3 linked regions of the Drosophila melanogaster genome follow. The protein of the gene in region 1 interacts with the protein of each later gene in a pairwise test. Each region holds a gene or a part of one and is shown in the gene's direction. Other genes may lie near its edges. The genes, in order: SCaMC, CG2608 and grsm.

Evidence for each region.
Region 2: the proteins of SCaMC (region 1) and CG2608 interact in a two-hybrid assay, tested with the Drosophila melanogaster proteins (one large-scale study listed by BioGRID).
Region 3: the proteins of SCaMC (region 1) and grsm interact in a two-hybrid assay, tested with the Drosophila melanogaster proteins (one large-scale study listed by BioGRID).

Annotation. Positions count from the first base shown.
Region 1 is NT_037436.4:12,411,632-12,417,358, reverse strand, and holds the start of SCaMC (short Calcium-binding mitochondrial carrier), read left to right. Parts: upstream 1-2,516; 5' UTR 2,517-2,657; intron 2,658-3,272; 5' UTR 3,273-3,455; coding exon 3,456-3,911; intron 3,912-4,902; coding exon 4,903-5,029; intron 5,030-5,086; coding exon 5,087-5,174; intron 5,175-5,236; coding exon 5,237-5,348; intron 5,349-5,727. Other genes in the region: ArfGAP1 (ADP-ribosylation factor GTPase activating protein 1), read left to right, coding at 147-206, 272-819, 880-1,084, 1,355-1,414, 1,490-2,023.
Region 2 is NT_033779.5:20,643,429-20,648,185, forward strand, and holds CG2608 (uncharacterized protein), read left to right. Parts: upstream 1-2,393; 5' UTR 2,394-2,532; intron 2,533-2,615; 5' UTR 2,616-2,666; coding exon 2,667-3,434; 3' UTR 3,435-3,953; downstream 3,954-4,757. Other genes in the region: phr6-4 ((6-4)-photolyase), read right to left, coding at 217-1,172, 1,236-1,902.
Region 3 is NT_033777.3:12,964,713-12,970,401, reverse strand, and holds the start of grsm (granny smith), read left to right. Parts: upstream 1-2,689; 5' UTR 2,690-2,801; coding exon 2,802-2,948; intron 2,949-3,023; coding exon 3,024-3,242; intron 3,243-3,653; exon of another isoform or gene 3,654-3,799; coding exon of another isoform or gene 3,800-3,849; intron 3,850-3,925; coding exon of another isoform or gene 3,926-4,373; exon of another isoform or gene 4,374-4,464; intron 4,465-4,478; exon of another isoform or gene 4,479-4,629; coding exon of another isoform or gene 4,630-4,959; intron 4,960-5,025; coding exon of another isoform or gene 5,026-5,689. Other genes in the region: CG7381 (uncharacterized protein), read left to right, coding at 1-79, 154-771, 862-981, 1,052-1,171, 1,235-1,639, 1,709-1,840, 1,905-2,057, 2,119-2,219; CG14384 (uncharacterized protein), read left to right, coding at 3,800-3,849, 3,926-4,373; Cyp304a1 (cytochrome P450 304a1), read right to left, coding at 4,630-4,959, 5,026-5,689.

The DNA of each region.
Region 1 (5,727 bases):
AAGCCAAGATTGCACCCAAATCAGCGCCAGCGTCAGCAAAAGTTTCATTAGCAACTCGGTTATCAGCTGCGAAACTGAAGCCAACTGAACGCAAAGAGTTGGGCAATCCGCCAGAGCAGGGCCAGAAACCATAGAAACCAGTTGCCATGGCGAGTCCCAGAACGCGACGGGTGCTCCAGGAACTGAAACCCCAGGATGAGAACTCGGTAGGTTTGCTCCTTTGTCCACATACGCTAGATAAGCTTCAATTTCTTTGTTTAAAAATGACTAGAAATGCTTCGAGTGCGGTACCCACAATCCGCAGTGGGTGTCCGTGACCTACGGCATCTGGATCTGCCTGGAGTGCTCCGGCAAGCATCGCAGTCTGGGCGTGCATCTGTCCTTCGTGCGCTCCGTCACTATGGATAAGTGGAAGGACATCGAGCTGGAGAAGATGAAGGCGGGCGGCAATCGCAATGCGCGCGAGTTTCTGGAGGATCAGGAGGACTGGAACGAACGGGCGCCTATCACGCAGCGTTACAACTCGAAGGCGGCTGCTTTGTACCGCGATAAGATAGCCACCTTGGCCCAGGGCAAGAGCTGGGATCTCAAGGAGGCGCAAGGCCGCGTGGGCAGCAACAATAGCTTCAGCTCAGGTGGCTCCAGCAACAGCAGCTACCAGTCGCGACCCAGTGCAACAGGTTATGGCGGAAACGGAGGCTATCAGAATGGCGGAGGCGCCGAGCCTGGAGGCTATCAGCAGTACCAAACGCAGGAGTTCAAGGACCAGAAGGAGGAGTTCTTCAGCCGACGCCAAGTGGAGAATGCCTCCAGGCCAGAGTAGGATCTTAATGGCATATCTGTCCATTAGCTATGATTTATCCTAGTTGATTGTTTCAGAAACTTGCCACCGAGTCAGGGCGGAAAATATGCAGGTTTCGGGTTCACACGCGAACCACCACCGAAAACGCAATCTCAGGAGCTTTTCGACTCGACGCTTTCCACTTTGGCCTCTGGCTGGAGCCTTTTCTCCACCAACGCCTCCAAGTTGGCCAGCACCGCCAAGGAGAAGGCCGTCACCACCGTCAATTTGGCCTCGACAAAGGTGAGTCCTGCGCCTCAGCTCGTATATCTTTCAGATTTTGATTCCTTATTTGCCTATTCTCTTCGATTTGGTTCAATATTATGTTGATTTTGTATTCTTTTGGTTTATTATTAGTCTGCTGATTAGTTTTAAATAATTTAAAGCTGTAGAAACCCACCTTAACAACAAAAGAGAGCAAAATCCCTTTAGTTAATCCCCATATTTGTTTGTTAATTTAATTGGTACACCTTATTGTTTGTATTATTTATTTGCATCTTTTTTTGGTTGTAGATTAAAGAGGGAACTCTGCTAGATTCCGTACAATGCGGAGTTACCGATGTAGCCAGCAAGGTCTGTAGTTCCCCATCATCCAGTTAATCTTCTCTAAACCCACATCCCTCTAACATATAAACATACCGATCGCAGGTCACCGATATGGGCAAACGAGGTTGGAATAATCTGGCGGGCAGCAACATTTCGTCGCCGCAGGGCGGATACAACGATCCCAACTTCGAGGACAGCAGCGCCTACCAGCGTTCCAATTCCGTGGGCGGTAATCTGGCCGGAGGCTTGGGTCAGCAGAGCGGCGTCAGCGACAGCGACTGGGGCGGCTGGCAGGACAACGGCAACAGCAAGTCGCACATGACCAGCTCGAGTTCGTACCACAATCAGTTGAGTAGCAGCAGCGGCGGCGGTACCGCCTCCGCCGGCCTAACCCGCGACGCTGACTGGTCCGGCTTCGAGGCGACGAACTATCAGAGTTCAGAGACCTCCTACCAGAACGCTTCGTCCGGCGGATCGACAGCTCGCCGCAACATGAAGCTGCAGGACACATCGCAGAAGCTGAGCGAGGGCTTCGAGAGCCTGGACGTGAAGAGTGTGAAGCCCAAGACGGCAACGGCCTCGTCCGCCAACAAAGGCACTGCCGAGGACGACGCCTGGAATCTGCTGATGAACTAGAAACCGTGGCGAGCAGCTTATGCGATTGTATTTTTTGTATTCCATTCGGTTGTCAAGTTGTGTCTCCTTTGTTTTATGTGTCTCTTGATGTCTGGCCCCGAGGCTGCTATGCGCGCATTTAATGTAACCAACTGAATTGTGTATTCATTCTTCGACTTCAAACATAAAGTGCAACTATTCCCGATTATTTCCACAGTTTAGACCAATTTTGTATAGATCTACTTAACTAACGAATTACTTAGCTTAAAGTGTATGCCAGGATACTGCGAGGGATGCGAGATGAGAAAATACATATTATGTTAACAAGTGTAGTCGTTCGTTTTTTAAATGGGCGGTTTTAAATTCAAAAAATATAAATATTTGCAAATTTAAAAAATACATTTAAAATTAATAGTGTTACCCTACAATTCCACATTTTAAAAACCACAAATAGGTTTGAGTCACGGCTAAGCAGTGACGCGATGCATTTTAGGGTATTTTCGACCACACAAGAAGTATATCTAGATAAACGTTCGTGGTCACACTGGCAAACCCAAAAAATTAAAATTGAAGAGTTCTGCGTGAATCGCTTTAAGCCACAAAGTCGCCGAAATAGCGTAAAAGCAGACGAACTCTTAAATAGCTCGACCAGTAGGTAGTGACCACAGAAAAAGTGGGAAATGCAATTGAAGCTTGCCACTTTCTTTTGCATATCCACATTCCTTTCGCCTGCATGTGAGCGTGTGTGTGTGTGTGTGCATGAAAATCGAGTGCAGAATAATTTTTGCCAAATTGGCAACAATTTGCAAGCGTTTCGAGAGAAATTTGAGTCACACCTGTCTGGAAAATGGGCGGAGAATTCAGAAAAGAATGTAGAAAGTGTGTGAGAGCGTGAAGAATTCTTCGGTTAAAGCTACGCTTTGCAAAGTAGAAAGTTCGAGTTGCTGGGGGAAAGTCTCCCTTTTCCCAACACTCCCCCCCTCTACCACGACTTTTGGAGACATGTGCGTGCGTGTGCGTGAAGCTGTGGGTTTTTCAAGGTTTTCCGGAAAATCGCTGGCCTTCAAAATTAACTGCGAAAATCAATGGGATGTGGGTTGTACGCGGGATCCTGAAAATTGGCACCTACAATGTACATATGTAGTTCTCCAGCCAAGAAGAGGATGACTTCATCGCGGGGAAATTCGATACGTTGAGCTGTTTTATTTATCTTTCGCCCAGACATAACATTATAAACTAATGTGTATACAACACTCGATACCTCTTTCAGACGACTGTTTTTCCATTTGACTTGCCAAGTAGTGCAAAATGAGCCGGCCATAAGAGCAGAGCAGCTGATAGCCCAACACGTAATCCCCCAGAGAATCGGAAACCGAGCAAACCCAGAGAAATCCTTCAGCTGCCAGTTAAAGAACAGAAAACTCAAGGTAAACTGTAAACACGAGTGTGGAGAATGGTCAGAAAGCAAGTTGGAATCGAAAACAGTGCATCCTTAGCAGTAAGCAAGCAGCAGGATCAAAAGGAGCAGGACTATAAGCCAGAGGATCAAAAGCAACAGCACATCGACATCGACTTGACGCCCGATCCGGCCAGCAACTTCAACTTCGCCCAGCAGGCGCAGGCCAACTACTCCGCCCGCACGCTAGCCGCCAGCTATGAGCACGGCCAAAATCTCGGCCTGCAACATGCCCATCTTGCCACCAGCAGCACTACCAACACGCCCTTGGCCTATGATCTGCACGAGGTCGCCAGCTCCGGCTCCATCCTGCCCACCGAGATCCCCATCGAGGACGAGGAGCGGCTGGAGCGCATCTTCAACAAGCTGGACCGCGATGGCGACGGCAGGATCGATATCCACGACCTGTCAGCGGCACTGCACGAGTTCGGGTTGTCGAGCGTTTACGCGGAGGTGAGCAAAGCCTATTTATAGGATGATATATGGAAGCCATCACATCTCATCTAGCTATTTCAAATGTATCATGGATAGGACATATCTGAGGCTCCCATGATTTTAACAGATGTATCTTAGGGTAGAAAACAAGCAATCTTGATTAGCATAGTTGAACTACACGTGCCCTGGGCTCGCCATTTTCACAGGGAACTAACAATGCCTTTTTCTATTTGCTATTCTTCGCCAAACAGAAGGCAGACGGTTGAGATCAATAATATGCGGCCTTGACGGGCAAAAGTATCTGAGAATCTTAATTTATACATTTTGCATTGTTTGCTTGCTCTGATCAAGGCGAAACATTTGGCACTGCTGCTGACCCTGGGCAGCCTGACCCTTTCATTGTGTCATTTTTGCAGTTGCCAAAAAAGGGCTTATTAAATCAAAAGAAATGTGGGGTGGCAAACCAGGCGAAGATGAATATTCTATTTTTAGATGAGCACAATATTATTTCGCGTACAAATCTCTTTGTTTGACTAACAGATATTGTTTGTGGTATTATTAGCAGCTTTGTTTATATTTTAGCCAAAACAAACTAGATATAAAGAAATTTAAACTATTACTTTTATCCTGTGACCTAAATTCTGCTCCATTATACTTCTAGTGAAATCCTATATTAGTTTATTTATGTTGCACAAATCGCCAGATTGTGAAATTACATGCAACAAGTATTGTGACAACTTCCGAAAGCAATCAGAATTGGATTAGATGGTATATAGAGGGTTAATGTGCAGACAACTGAGTAGATTTATATGGTTTCCGCCGGCGAAGCCCGCATGATACGAGAAATTGATTTGCTTTCACGATTCAGGTCGATACTCTAGTCAGCGGCTCACTATGCGAAAGGCCTGCGAGTGTTCGACACAAATTTTCCAGTAATATTCCGGCAGTGAATCTAGTAAATTTTCCAGGAGCAATGCCAGTAATATTCCGCACTTGCTTTCCATTACAGAAATTCCTTCAGCAGTCGGACAAGGATCAGAGCGGCAACGTGGGCTTCGCCGAGTTCCTGCACTACGTGCGGGAGCATGAGAAGAACCTGGTCCTGCAGTTCTCGCACCTAGATAAAAATCGCGATGGTGGGTAATTGATTAAACCTTAATTGGATTAGTTCTTATAAGTGAATTGTATTACAGGCAAAGTGGACTTGGAGGAGCTGATATCGGCGTTCAAGGACCTGGGCCTGGACATTGACATGGACGAGGCCAGAAATCTGCTCACCAGGTGGGTTAATTATCCTCAACTTTCTTTTGTGCATGTGTTAATACGCGTGACTTTTCTTGCAGAATGGACAAGGATGGCAGCCTGAACATTAGCTTTAACGAGTGGCGGGACTTCATGCTCTTGGCGCCCTCAACGGACATTCATGACTTGATTAAATTTTGGCGGCACTCTACTGTGAGTTTACTAGAGATACGTTTTGCAAGTTGCTGAATTCATAAAACAGAGAGCAGTGGTTCTTCGAAGGTGTTCCACTGTTTCTCTGGATTAGTTTTCGTTCTATCGCGTTTGTTTTTAAAATATCTATGTACACTAGTATACATGTAGCTGTTTAACGTTAACTAATTGCCAACTTTTACCCTTCTTATCCCCTCGCCCATATCCAAAAACAAAATTAAACCGAAAAAACACACACTTCACACACTAACAAACCAAAATGTCGAATGTAGTACCTACACCCACACTACTCCTGACTAACTGAGGAAGATCTGAAGGTACATATCCGTCAAGTTACATATTACGATTACCATTGATATTGTTGTAGACCCACCCACGT
Region 2 (4,757 bases), on another chromosome or scaffold:
TACCTATTGACAACTCGAACATTCCAATTCCAATTCCAATTCCAACAAATACTATATACTCGTTTTATACCTAAATTTCGGTAGGGTAACAATCAAGAAGTTTATAGATTTATACCTAAAATAGTACATAAAACAATTCTTCCATCCTTAATTCATATTAGCTCACTCCGTAGATCTAACTACCTTTTACATAAGGTAGCGAACAAATTTTAGGTTTTAACGTTTTCGCTTAGGGGCACTTCCGGTTGCCCTTCGCACCTTCCGCTTGCCAGACGTGGAGGTTTCTGATTTCTCCTCGAAAGACGACTCCTCCTCCTTGCCAGTGCGCACCTCCCGATTTACTTTGTAGGCGGCGCCCATTCTCTTAATGTTCTCCTTGTGCACCACTTCGTGTTTAACAATCCGGTGGGGATAATCCGTGCCGAGGACGCAGCCGTATGCCCGCTGATCCACCAGCGACGCCTTCCAGGGCTCATAAATACAGCCAGCAGGATATTTTGAGAGTTCCGGCACATACTTCCTGATATAGTGCCCTTGGGGATCCGTTTTCTTGCCAAACGCCACCGGACTGTAGACGCGAAAATACTGGTGAAAGAAAGCGGACGCAGATAGCCACATCCAGTTGCCAGCGTTTAGTGCCCAGTCCTGATCCAGCAGCAGCTGCTCGAACACCCGCTGTCCCTCCTCCCAACTGATCCAGAGGTCTCCGCGCGTTAAGAAACATGCCACTGCATGCCGGGCCAGATGATGGATCCAACCCTCCTGGCGCAGCTGACGCATGATGGCGTCGATGAAAGGATATCCTGTGCGTCCGTGTGTCCAGGCCTCCAAGTGATCTGGATGCTCCTGCCACGGAATTTGCATGCAGTATACATTGCCCAACATTCGATCGAAATTGGGTTCCGCAGCCGCCACTGTGTAGTAAAATTCCCTCCACATGAGTTGTCCAATGAGCGAAACGGGCGGCTGCGAGTGCTTCGGCTGGCGTTTGATAATTTCCTTGAGCTTTTGATTGAACAGTCGGGCACTAAGGCATCCAAATTTGAGGTAAGGGCTTAGTACGGTAGTGCTAGGCTCCAGCGAGTTGGGTGCCGTGTTGGGCTTCTCAAAGCGGGCAACCCAAATTTCATCCTTTAGGGATTCCTCCATGCGGCGCAGTGCCTCTGTTTCGCCTGTTTGATAAAAAGAAATCCACATTGTTGTAGTTGTGATCAAGAGTTTAACTATGTTTTTACCTCCCGGAAACTTATTAGGGCCCAGTTCCTCCGGGCGTTTTACTAATTGCTTCATCGTAGGACAATCATAGGCCGCCGAATCCTTTTGCTCCACCTCATCTTTGGGTGGTGTAGGCATGTTTTTAAGCTTTTCAGGAACCCCTAGAACTTTAGGTACCTTTAGTTGCTCCACAATGCCCAGGAACTTTTGATAGGTAATTGGAGCCTTGCCAAGATTCTTCGCTATTACTAATTCCGGATTATAAATCGTGTGGGAGCAATGAGTTTCCACTCTCACACCCTCTGCCTTGGCCAACTTCTGCACGGCAGCATCCCGGGTCACGGAGTACGGCTCGATATCTGTCTCAAAAGTTAGCATTTCCACGCGCCAACTCTTAAAAATACGGGGAAAAACCTCTGCGGGCTTCCCGCGCACCACAAACAGACGGGAATTAAGTTTCCGAAGCTGGTTATCCAAGTCCTCCAGCGTTTGCTGCAGGAATCGCCATCGATTGGCACCCACTTGCATCCAATCGAGGATTCCTGGATCCAAAATGAAAATCGGGCGAACAAAGTATTTTCCTGGAGCAGCGTTAGCGGCGGTAAAAATGTGCGATAATGCCGGATTGTCGTGCAACCGGAGTCCTTTACGGAACCAGTGGACCAACGTGGACCTTTGTGAATCCATTTTGGCACGTGTCCCCGATTTCAAACGGTACCTATGCGGATTTATCGTAGAAAATATATTTCAAAAGCAAGAGCGTTCTAACGAACCTGCCAACACGTTTTCTGAACTTATTTACACTGCGCTGCAAGGAAAGTGTATAATGTTCTGGTGAGCGTGTTTATTTTGTTCACATACGTAGATAGGGCAAGTGCAAATAATATGAAGACAAATTTCATTGCATAATATGAAATTTAAATATGTTCACAATAATATTTTATGATGTAAAAACGTAGAACTTGTTAAACGTTCATGCTCTACATGCTTTAATCAATTTAAAATTACAAAATGAAATGTCTAACCTCTTTTTACATGTTTTGAGCAAGATATTGTATATACATTTTTTTAAATCTTTCAAGAATTTATGTTTCAAGTCGTCCGTCGAGTGTAAACAGCTGTTTTGCGATTCGAAAATACCGAAGTATGGCAATAGCGACCAAGTTGGCCATCCTCACTTTCAGTATTTTTTGCAGAGTTTATTTGGTGCACAAGCACCGGTAGTCAATATAATTATAATTACATTAAACCACCTAAAACAAGCTGATCAACCGCAATCAAACATCTCAACGGGATAATAATAAACGCCAGAGAGTGGTAAGTTCCTAACAATACGGCCACGAAGAGCGAACAGCTCGATTAACTGAAATTCCCTCGCATATCTTTCGATGGCATTGCAGGCGCACATCCGCCAATTGCTCAACATTAAGCGAGGAAAACACGGCGGAAAAATGGATCTGCTCGACTCAATACTCAACGCCATGGATGCGCCGCCTGCCAACAACGAGCAACAGAAGACGCTGATCAAGAAACAGCGCGAAATGTTAGAGCGGATGCAGAACAAACAGAAAGAGGAGCTCCTCCGATTCCGAAAATATGTAGACGAACGGATGGGGCGATTCGCCAAGGACGACAGGCGATGCATCGAGTTTCAGCCGCTGGATAAAGTGCATCGCTCGGTGATCCACGAAGTAGCCGAAAATGGCGGCTTCATTGCCATGAGCTTTGGCCGCGAGGATGTGGACCGACATTCGGTTGTGTACAAAAAGGAACACGCTCCTGGCGAGGATGAGGTCACGGCCCGTCGGAACGGAGACGGTTGGAACGAGGAGATAGCCAAGGAGTACGCGGAGCGACGGCGGGAACGATTGGCGCAGGAGCAAAGTGACAAAGAAGCCTCCACATCCGAAGCAGCAAGTTCAGGCTCGTCCACATCCACATCAGCGGATCAGGACTCCGGCGAAGTTAAGCCCACGACCAACTACAAGGCCAAGTATGCCCACCTCATCGGAGAGTCGGCCGCACTGCAGGCGGCCCGTAAGACGGAGACCAACCAAAGCTACGGATTCGTGCCTAGCAAGAATAAGAAGGATGTGCGCTCCATCGAACAAACTTTGGCCGACATCCAGGCCAAAAAGCGTCTGCGATTGGCTCAGCAGCAGGAGCTGGAGCAAGAGCAGCAAGCGCAAGAGGCAACCACATCCACAGAGGACCCATGAGTCGCCTGTGACCCAATTAGTATACAGATAGCTCACTTAATGCAAGACTGTCGCAACCAAAAAAAAGGATTATACTTCTTAAATCAGAATCAGAGAATCAGACATGACATGCTCGTCTTGTTCGCAAACTCCTGCTCGATAACATCGACAATATTTGACAAAACAGAGCAGTAATCATCTTCAGGGAGCCAAAGATTTTTAAATTTATAGTATTCATACTATGTTTTTGCCCACATTAATCGTATTTGGTAATAGGCTTGATACTAATTTTTATCTTAGGTTAGCCCCATTAAATTAAATGCCCTTTTTTTTTGAGTAATGACAGCCTTGTATCGAGTGAGATTAGTTTTGTTGATTCAGATTAGTCACATGAAAGGTCTCTGACTGCCATGTAAATCATAAGTAATAAGCAATTTCATTTGTTGGCCAATTAAGATCCGAAAGTTGTACATGTTTTAAGCAAGTTATGTGTCCGTAGCAGAGTCCGAATCGCAATATCTATTTATATAATAAAAACCTAAAAAAAAAAACGTCGCAAGGTTCAAAAAAATCTTAAAAACGGGGCGCCACTCAAAAATCACCAAAAAATACAGAATATTTCCATTCCAGTATTTTCTTGTTCGTCACTTCTTTCTTGTCACGGTGGTGAAGAAGCAGTCACAGTTTAATGCCAGCCGAAAGCCGCACCACGTGTTGCCCATTCCAAGAAAAATAAACTAAATTAGCACGATGGCTAATAGAAAACGCAACAAAATTTTGCTTAATACAATAGAGAAAGATATGTCAAATAGCTGAAAGTTATATGGTAACTAAAAGATGTGCGGATCACGAGAAACGAGCAATTCACTTTGACAGCCTGGCAGCTGTGACCCAAAGAGTCTCACTTTGAGACTTCTTGGGACCAACCAGCATGGGAAGTTTACGCGGTAAGAATAATACAGAAAGAAGATCTCCACAACCATGATGAAATCGTTAGATGGGGACAACTGATTACTGTGACTGATTCATCTCGATAGTAGATCTGATTTTAAAAATGTTGCTAGCCTACGTGCTTTCATGTTCAACAGCACTAAAATAACTCGTTCTTTTTATATAATGCAGAAAACTGATGTTTCTGACTGAAAACCGACGAAAGAATGGTTTCCACACTTGTAAGTATAATGATTGCTAAAGATTTATGATTTTTTTTTTTTTGTGATGAAATCGTTAGATAGGGACGTCTGATATCTGTGACTGATTTATCTCGATAGTAGATCTGATTTTAAAAATACTGTTAGCTTGCGTGATTTTATGTTCAACAACACTACAATAACTCTTTCTTTT
Region 3 (5,689 bases), on another chromosome or scaffold:
AGTTGTCAGCAAAACGTGTGCGGCTGTGCAAATGGCTATTATAACAGATATGGAAACATCTGCCGTCGCAAATCAATGGGTATGTGTTAGTCGAGAAGTTATTGTAAATGGTATATATGGCTCTATATGGCTCTATATATGCCTGATTTTCAGAAGAAAACGATGCCTGCGTCGTTAACGCGGACTGTGATGAACTGGGCGCCGGTGTCGAGTGCGTTGGCCTAGTATGCACCTATGTGGACGAGATCACAACGACTCCGGGTGGCGAGACCGAGGAAACGGAGACCACCAATCCGGGCTCGCCAGAGGATGATGATTCAACCACAGCCGAGGCGATCACCGAGACTGCCGATCCGGAACAGGAGACCGCTTTCAGTAGCCGAAGGCAGCTAACCAAGGCCTTTGTACACGCCCCCCCGCCCACTCACAGCGATGCCGCCGCCCAGGTGTCCTTCGCCCAGCTCACCAATGGCGACACCGAGCCGCTCATCTCGCCCCGATCCCACGAGATTGCCGTCCAGACGAGCATCGAGAAGTACGAGCTGAGGGAGGTGGGACGAAGTGTGCGCAATGCGGCCACCGCCACCACCACAACGACAGCCACCGCCTCCACGAGCACCAGTAGCAGGCGCAACTCCAGCCGCAACCAGAGACACGCCCATGGCCAAAGACGCCGCTTGCCCGCCCTCTTCCGATTCGATGACGAGGATATAAAGACCTACTCCACGCTGGGTTCCAGCCGCGATGACGACGATGCCGATGAGAAGAAGTGTGAGTATCCAAGAATGCCCCCAAAAAAATGAAGTCTCTCAATGCTTAGGCAATCTTAAATATATTTCAACTATTTTTTTTCCCATTTAGATGGCAGCAGCTGCACGGATAATGGAAAGACATGCTCGGGTCTGCCGCACTCGATTTGTTCCAAGAATATTTGCCTATGTCGCCAGGGTTACTATGCCCGCAATGGAAAATGTTTTGCCGGTGAGTAAACTGGGTTTCCCCCAATTTAATTCTTCTATTAATGAAATTAACTGAAATGAAAATTCTTTAGAACTGGGGGAAATTGCGGAGAGCACGGATGAGTGCGAGTACGAGTTCGATCAGTTGACCAAAACTTGCAATTGCCAAAAGAATTATTTCTACGAGCGGGATCTGCGCAATTGCAGAAAACGTAGGTGGTTCCAACGCTAGCTGCTGAATCGCACTTAAGATATATCCTTTTCCATCAAAACAGCCATTCAATACCACTTATCCTGCACCTCGAACAGCCAATGCAGTCCATTTGGCGCCTCCTATTGCCACCCGGAGATTCCGAGGAGGTGCACCTGCGAGGAGTACGCTCTCTACGATGCCATCAAGCAGCTCTGCGAATACAAACGTGGCCTGGGAGCCGAGTGTGAGTCGAACGATGGCTGTCCTGTGGATCACTCCGTCTGCTCCAATCGCGTGTGCGTTTGTGCGGACAACTACTTTGAGAAGGACGATCAGTGTATGCGTGGCATCGGTGCCGACTGCTCGGTGGAGGATGACTGCATACCTGAGAACACCGAATGCCAGGAGAAGGACGAGGAGGATCAGTCGCGCACCTGCCAGTGCCGAAAGGGATACGTGCACTTTAAGGATGAGTGCCTAAAAGAGGGTTAGTACTCAGAAGCTGAAATGCAAAGCAGCAAAATTATGCCCTGCCCCACATTACATTTCATTATAGCCGAGGAGCTGGAGGACGAGTGCGTCGAGGATGAGCAGTGCAAGCCGCTCCTGGCGAGCTGCAATTCGGAGGGCAAGTGTGGATGCAACGATGAGCAGCATGCTAAGAACGGAGTCTGTGAGACGAAGCGAGGTAATTGAGTCGCTAAGCTTTCTTTAATTATTTGTAATAATTCTAATATGTTGCAATCTTGCAGAGCTGGGAGAGTCGTGCACCAAGGCCACCGAGTGCTATGTAGAAAAGGATCCCGAGAATGTCGAGTGCCGCAACTCCGTGTGCCAGTGCAAGCTGGGCTACTCGGCGAACGCCAATCAGAATCAATGCATTCGCGTGATGCCCAATAAGAAAAGTAAGTGTCCTTGCAAAACCAATTGAGTAAGGATGATCTATGAATGTCACGCTTTTCGCAGATTCTTCCGGTAGACCAAGTGCTCTCAAAATCATCACCTTCATGCTGATTGGCTCCGCTTTCCTTATCACCAGTGCGGCCATAAAGCAGGCCTACTACTAGAACCAAACCAAAACCTAAATCCTTTCACCTGCGTGTTTGGGGAATGGCGAGGATAATCGAGGGAGGAGTTGGCCAAGGACCTTGGGGGGATCGGGGTGATTTGGGGATCGGCGGGAGTGGCCAGTATTAGCCAAGTTACTGGCATGGATGCAGGTCCATGCGCAACGTGAATATAAATCAATTAGTTCGTAAGTTGATATTTAGGAGTCGAAGCAATATAAATTTGGAGAAAGGGTCCTCGGAACGGAACGACTCTCGCTTATCTAATACGGCTAAGTGTAATGACAAATTATCTGTAAGTTTTGAAGTTAAACCGCTTGTTGCTAGGCTAAGCGAACAGTTTTTAACCAAATTGTAATATATACATCATAATAAACTAAGGCCAACGAAGAGTTGTGTATCAAATCCAGAAACTGGCAATTATTATTAAACAAGTAGTTTTGAGATTTCACTTCTATCAGTTAGCAACAGCAACTCAACTCAAATTTGTACCTTTCAATTTTTCAAGCTCGAATGTTTTGTACGTAATTCTTAGTTTAGCATCCTAAATTTCAGTACGTTAGTTGAAAAGTATAAGTAGAGATGGCACCGTATCCAAACGGCTTTTTAAGTTACGCGGTGGCTATACATCTTAAATCCCCGCACCTCCAAATGGAGGAGTCACTGCGTCAGGGAGCGGGGTACTGGAATGCATTGAGTTCGCGAGAAAAGAATCAGTATCGATCGAAAGTAAGTTCCTAGGGATTACACACTTTCCCCCTGACCGGCGAACTTTATCTTCTGCCCTTCGTTAATACCCTGCAGTACCAGAAACGGTGTCTCAGCAAAAGCTCCACTTCGCGTCATCGGCGTCAATCGGAGAAACTCAAACATATGGGATGCGGCCGCAAGAAAATAGTGCCCAAGTGTTCCCGAAAGCCCACGACTCCGGCCTGCAAGCCAAGGAGCGTCAATAGGTGTCCCCGGAAAAGCAGCTCCAACCGCTCGAGTCGTGAATGCATGCTGATGAAGTCACCAAAAGGCGTAAGTGCCAGTAGTTTAAATAATATTAACATTTATTTTATTATTTATAAAAGTTACTTTTAAGTAAGATATATTTTCATGTGTATGTCAACTTCACTTGTTTTGATAGTGAATTTTAAACACTGGGTTCATAGCGAACAAGTTGTCGTTTTCGTAACCAAACAATTATCACCTTGTTTTCAACTCTATTTTCTATTTTTTTTGTTGCCACTCAATTGTCTTAATATTGATAAGGGCATTTTGGTCAAAGTGTTTGCACATTATCTTGCAGTTTGCTATTTTATTTTTGTTATCAGCTCGGCTAGTAAAACAATCTGCAGTAATTTGACTGTATCTTTTGATTTATATTCGATTTGCGACCCATTTAAAATGGAGATTAAAATCTAGGGACCTTGAATTTCTGTATTTCAGAAGCTCATATTTGCATTCGAATCGAAGAGAACAGTAAAACAGTGTCAAATATTTCTGGGTGAACTTTCCGAGTACAAATAGGTCAAAGTTGATTTTGTCGTAAGACAATTGCTAAACTGAACTGCCTATAAATTTCAAGTCTCAAAATGTCCCTCAATTGCCCGGTTCATAATAAGAACTCCAGTGGCTTAAACATGTAAGTTTCGGCCAAGAGATCGCTTTCGATATCCGGCGTATGTGTTCCTTGTGGTAACAATGTGGTTTGCATACAGTACCAGGTCCGCAACCTCGGATGACGTCAAGATCGCCATGTGCGCCTGCTTGGAATTGGCCAACTGTCGGGCCGAAAACTGTCAGCTGAAGAAGAAACTGACCGAATATGAGGCCAAGATCTGCAGTCTCGAACAACTGGTGGCCACCATTGCGGAGGAGCAGAACCAGATTCGCCAAGAAGTGATCGAGTTGCGCAATGAGACTCAGGGTGCAACGATGGAAGCCGCCAACGAGGTGGATCCTTTGGACAACTCATTCGTGAACCCGCAAGAGGAAATGGACGATGAGGAAGGATACGATCCGGATTCAGAATCCGAGTACAATGCTATCCAGTCCCCCAATCCCTCAATACATTCTTCGATGGTCTCGCTGGTTCGCTCATTGAGTTTTTCATCCACCAGCTCAGATTCTGATTGCATTGTATACAGCGATAATGAGGATTTCTAAGAAACCCATCTCATTCCAATCGCATCTTCTCAACAAGTTCCGTTCGCGAACTTTGATACCACACGATATGAGTAAACGACAATGTTAAAATAAATAGTTCGTTGTGGTGCATCACATAATAGTATTGGGCAATTCTAGAATATTTTTGAAATGTGACGGAATAAAATTCCTCAAAAAATATCCAAGCAAACTAGCTAACGTAATCAGTAAAATTACTTTGTCTTAAAAATAGATAACTCTAATATCTTGGCTACTTTCAATGCCGATCCTGTAGTTGCAGCCAGAAATCTGGTGGCGAAATAATCAGTCCATTGAGGTTCTGGGAGAGATCGGGCAACCGATCATTGGGGCCCAGGACGAAGTCAAAGTGCTGGCACATGGTCGCTGTCACCAGGAAGAGCATGTTGCGCGCAAATGTCTCGCCGGCACAGAGCCGTTTTCCCGCTCCAAAGGGCAGCGAGACATCCAGTTTCAGGCAGAGCTTGCCATCCGCGTCCAGGAATCTCTCCGGCCGGAACTGCTCCGGATCCGACCAAATACGGGCGTCCGAGTGGAAGGCATACAGGCTGGGCACGACAATGGTGTCCTGTACGGGTATATAGGGGAAAATAGTTTGGTTTTTAAAATTAAATAGATAGGAAACTTTTCTAACCTTGGGTATCCGGTAGCCCAGCAATTCGGTGTCCTCCAGCGCCTTGTGCGGGACATCCGAGGGAACCAGCGTCTCGATGCGCAGACCTTCGCGAATGGTGGCCTCCGTGAAGGGCAAGTTCTTGCGATCCTCCAGGTTGGGCAATCGTCCGCATCCCACCACCTCGTCGATCTCGTTCTGAACCCGCCGCAGAACTGCCGGATATAGCATGAGATACTGGACGAGTAGCGATAGCTGCACTCCGATGGCAGTGAAGGCCGGAAAGGAGAAGTCCACCAGGCCCATGATCAATTGATCCCGATTGAAACCGTAGCCCGGACCTCGGCGCATTTCAGCTATGTAGACATCCATGAAGTTGCGCTCCACACCCTCTTCGTAGCTGTCCAAATACTTATCCACAAAGTCGGCAAAGAACTGCCGCACGAATAGGTTGGACTCGTTTAGCTTGTTGTAGCCACTCCATTCGGGCCAAATGTGCCGAATCCACGGTATAATGCTCAACATTTTGCCGTAGTCGTCCGCATTCCGCTGGAACTGTATGCCCATCTGGCAGAGCTTCACCAATTTGCCCATTTCCTCGCGACTCAGGCACTCATTGTAGACAATGTAAAAGTGAGCGTTGGCCGAGAAGGGATTAAAGAGCAGCGGCAGAAGCACGCGATAT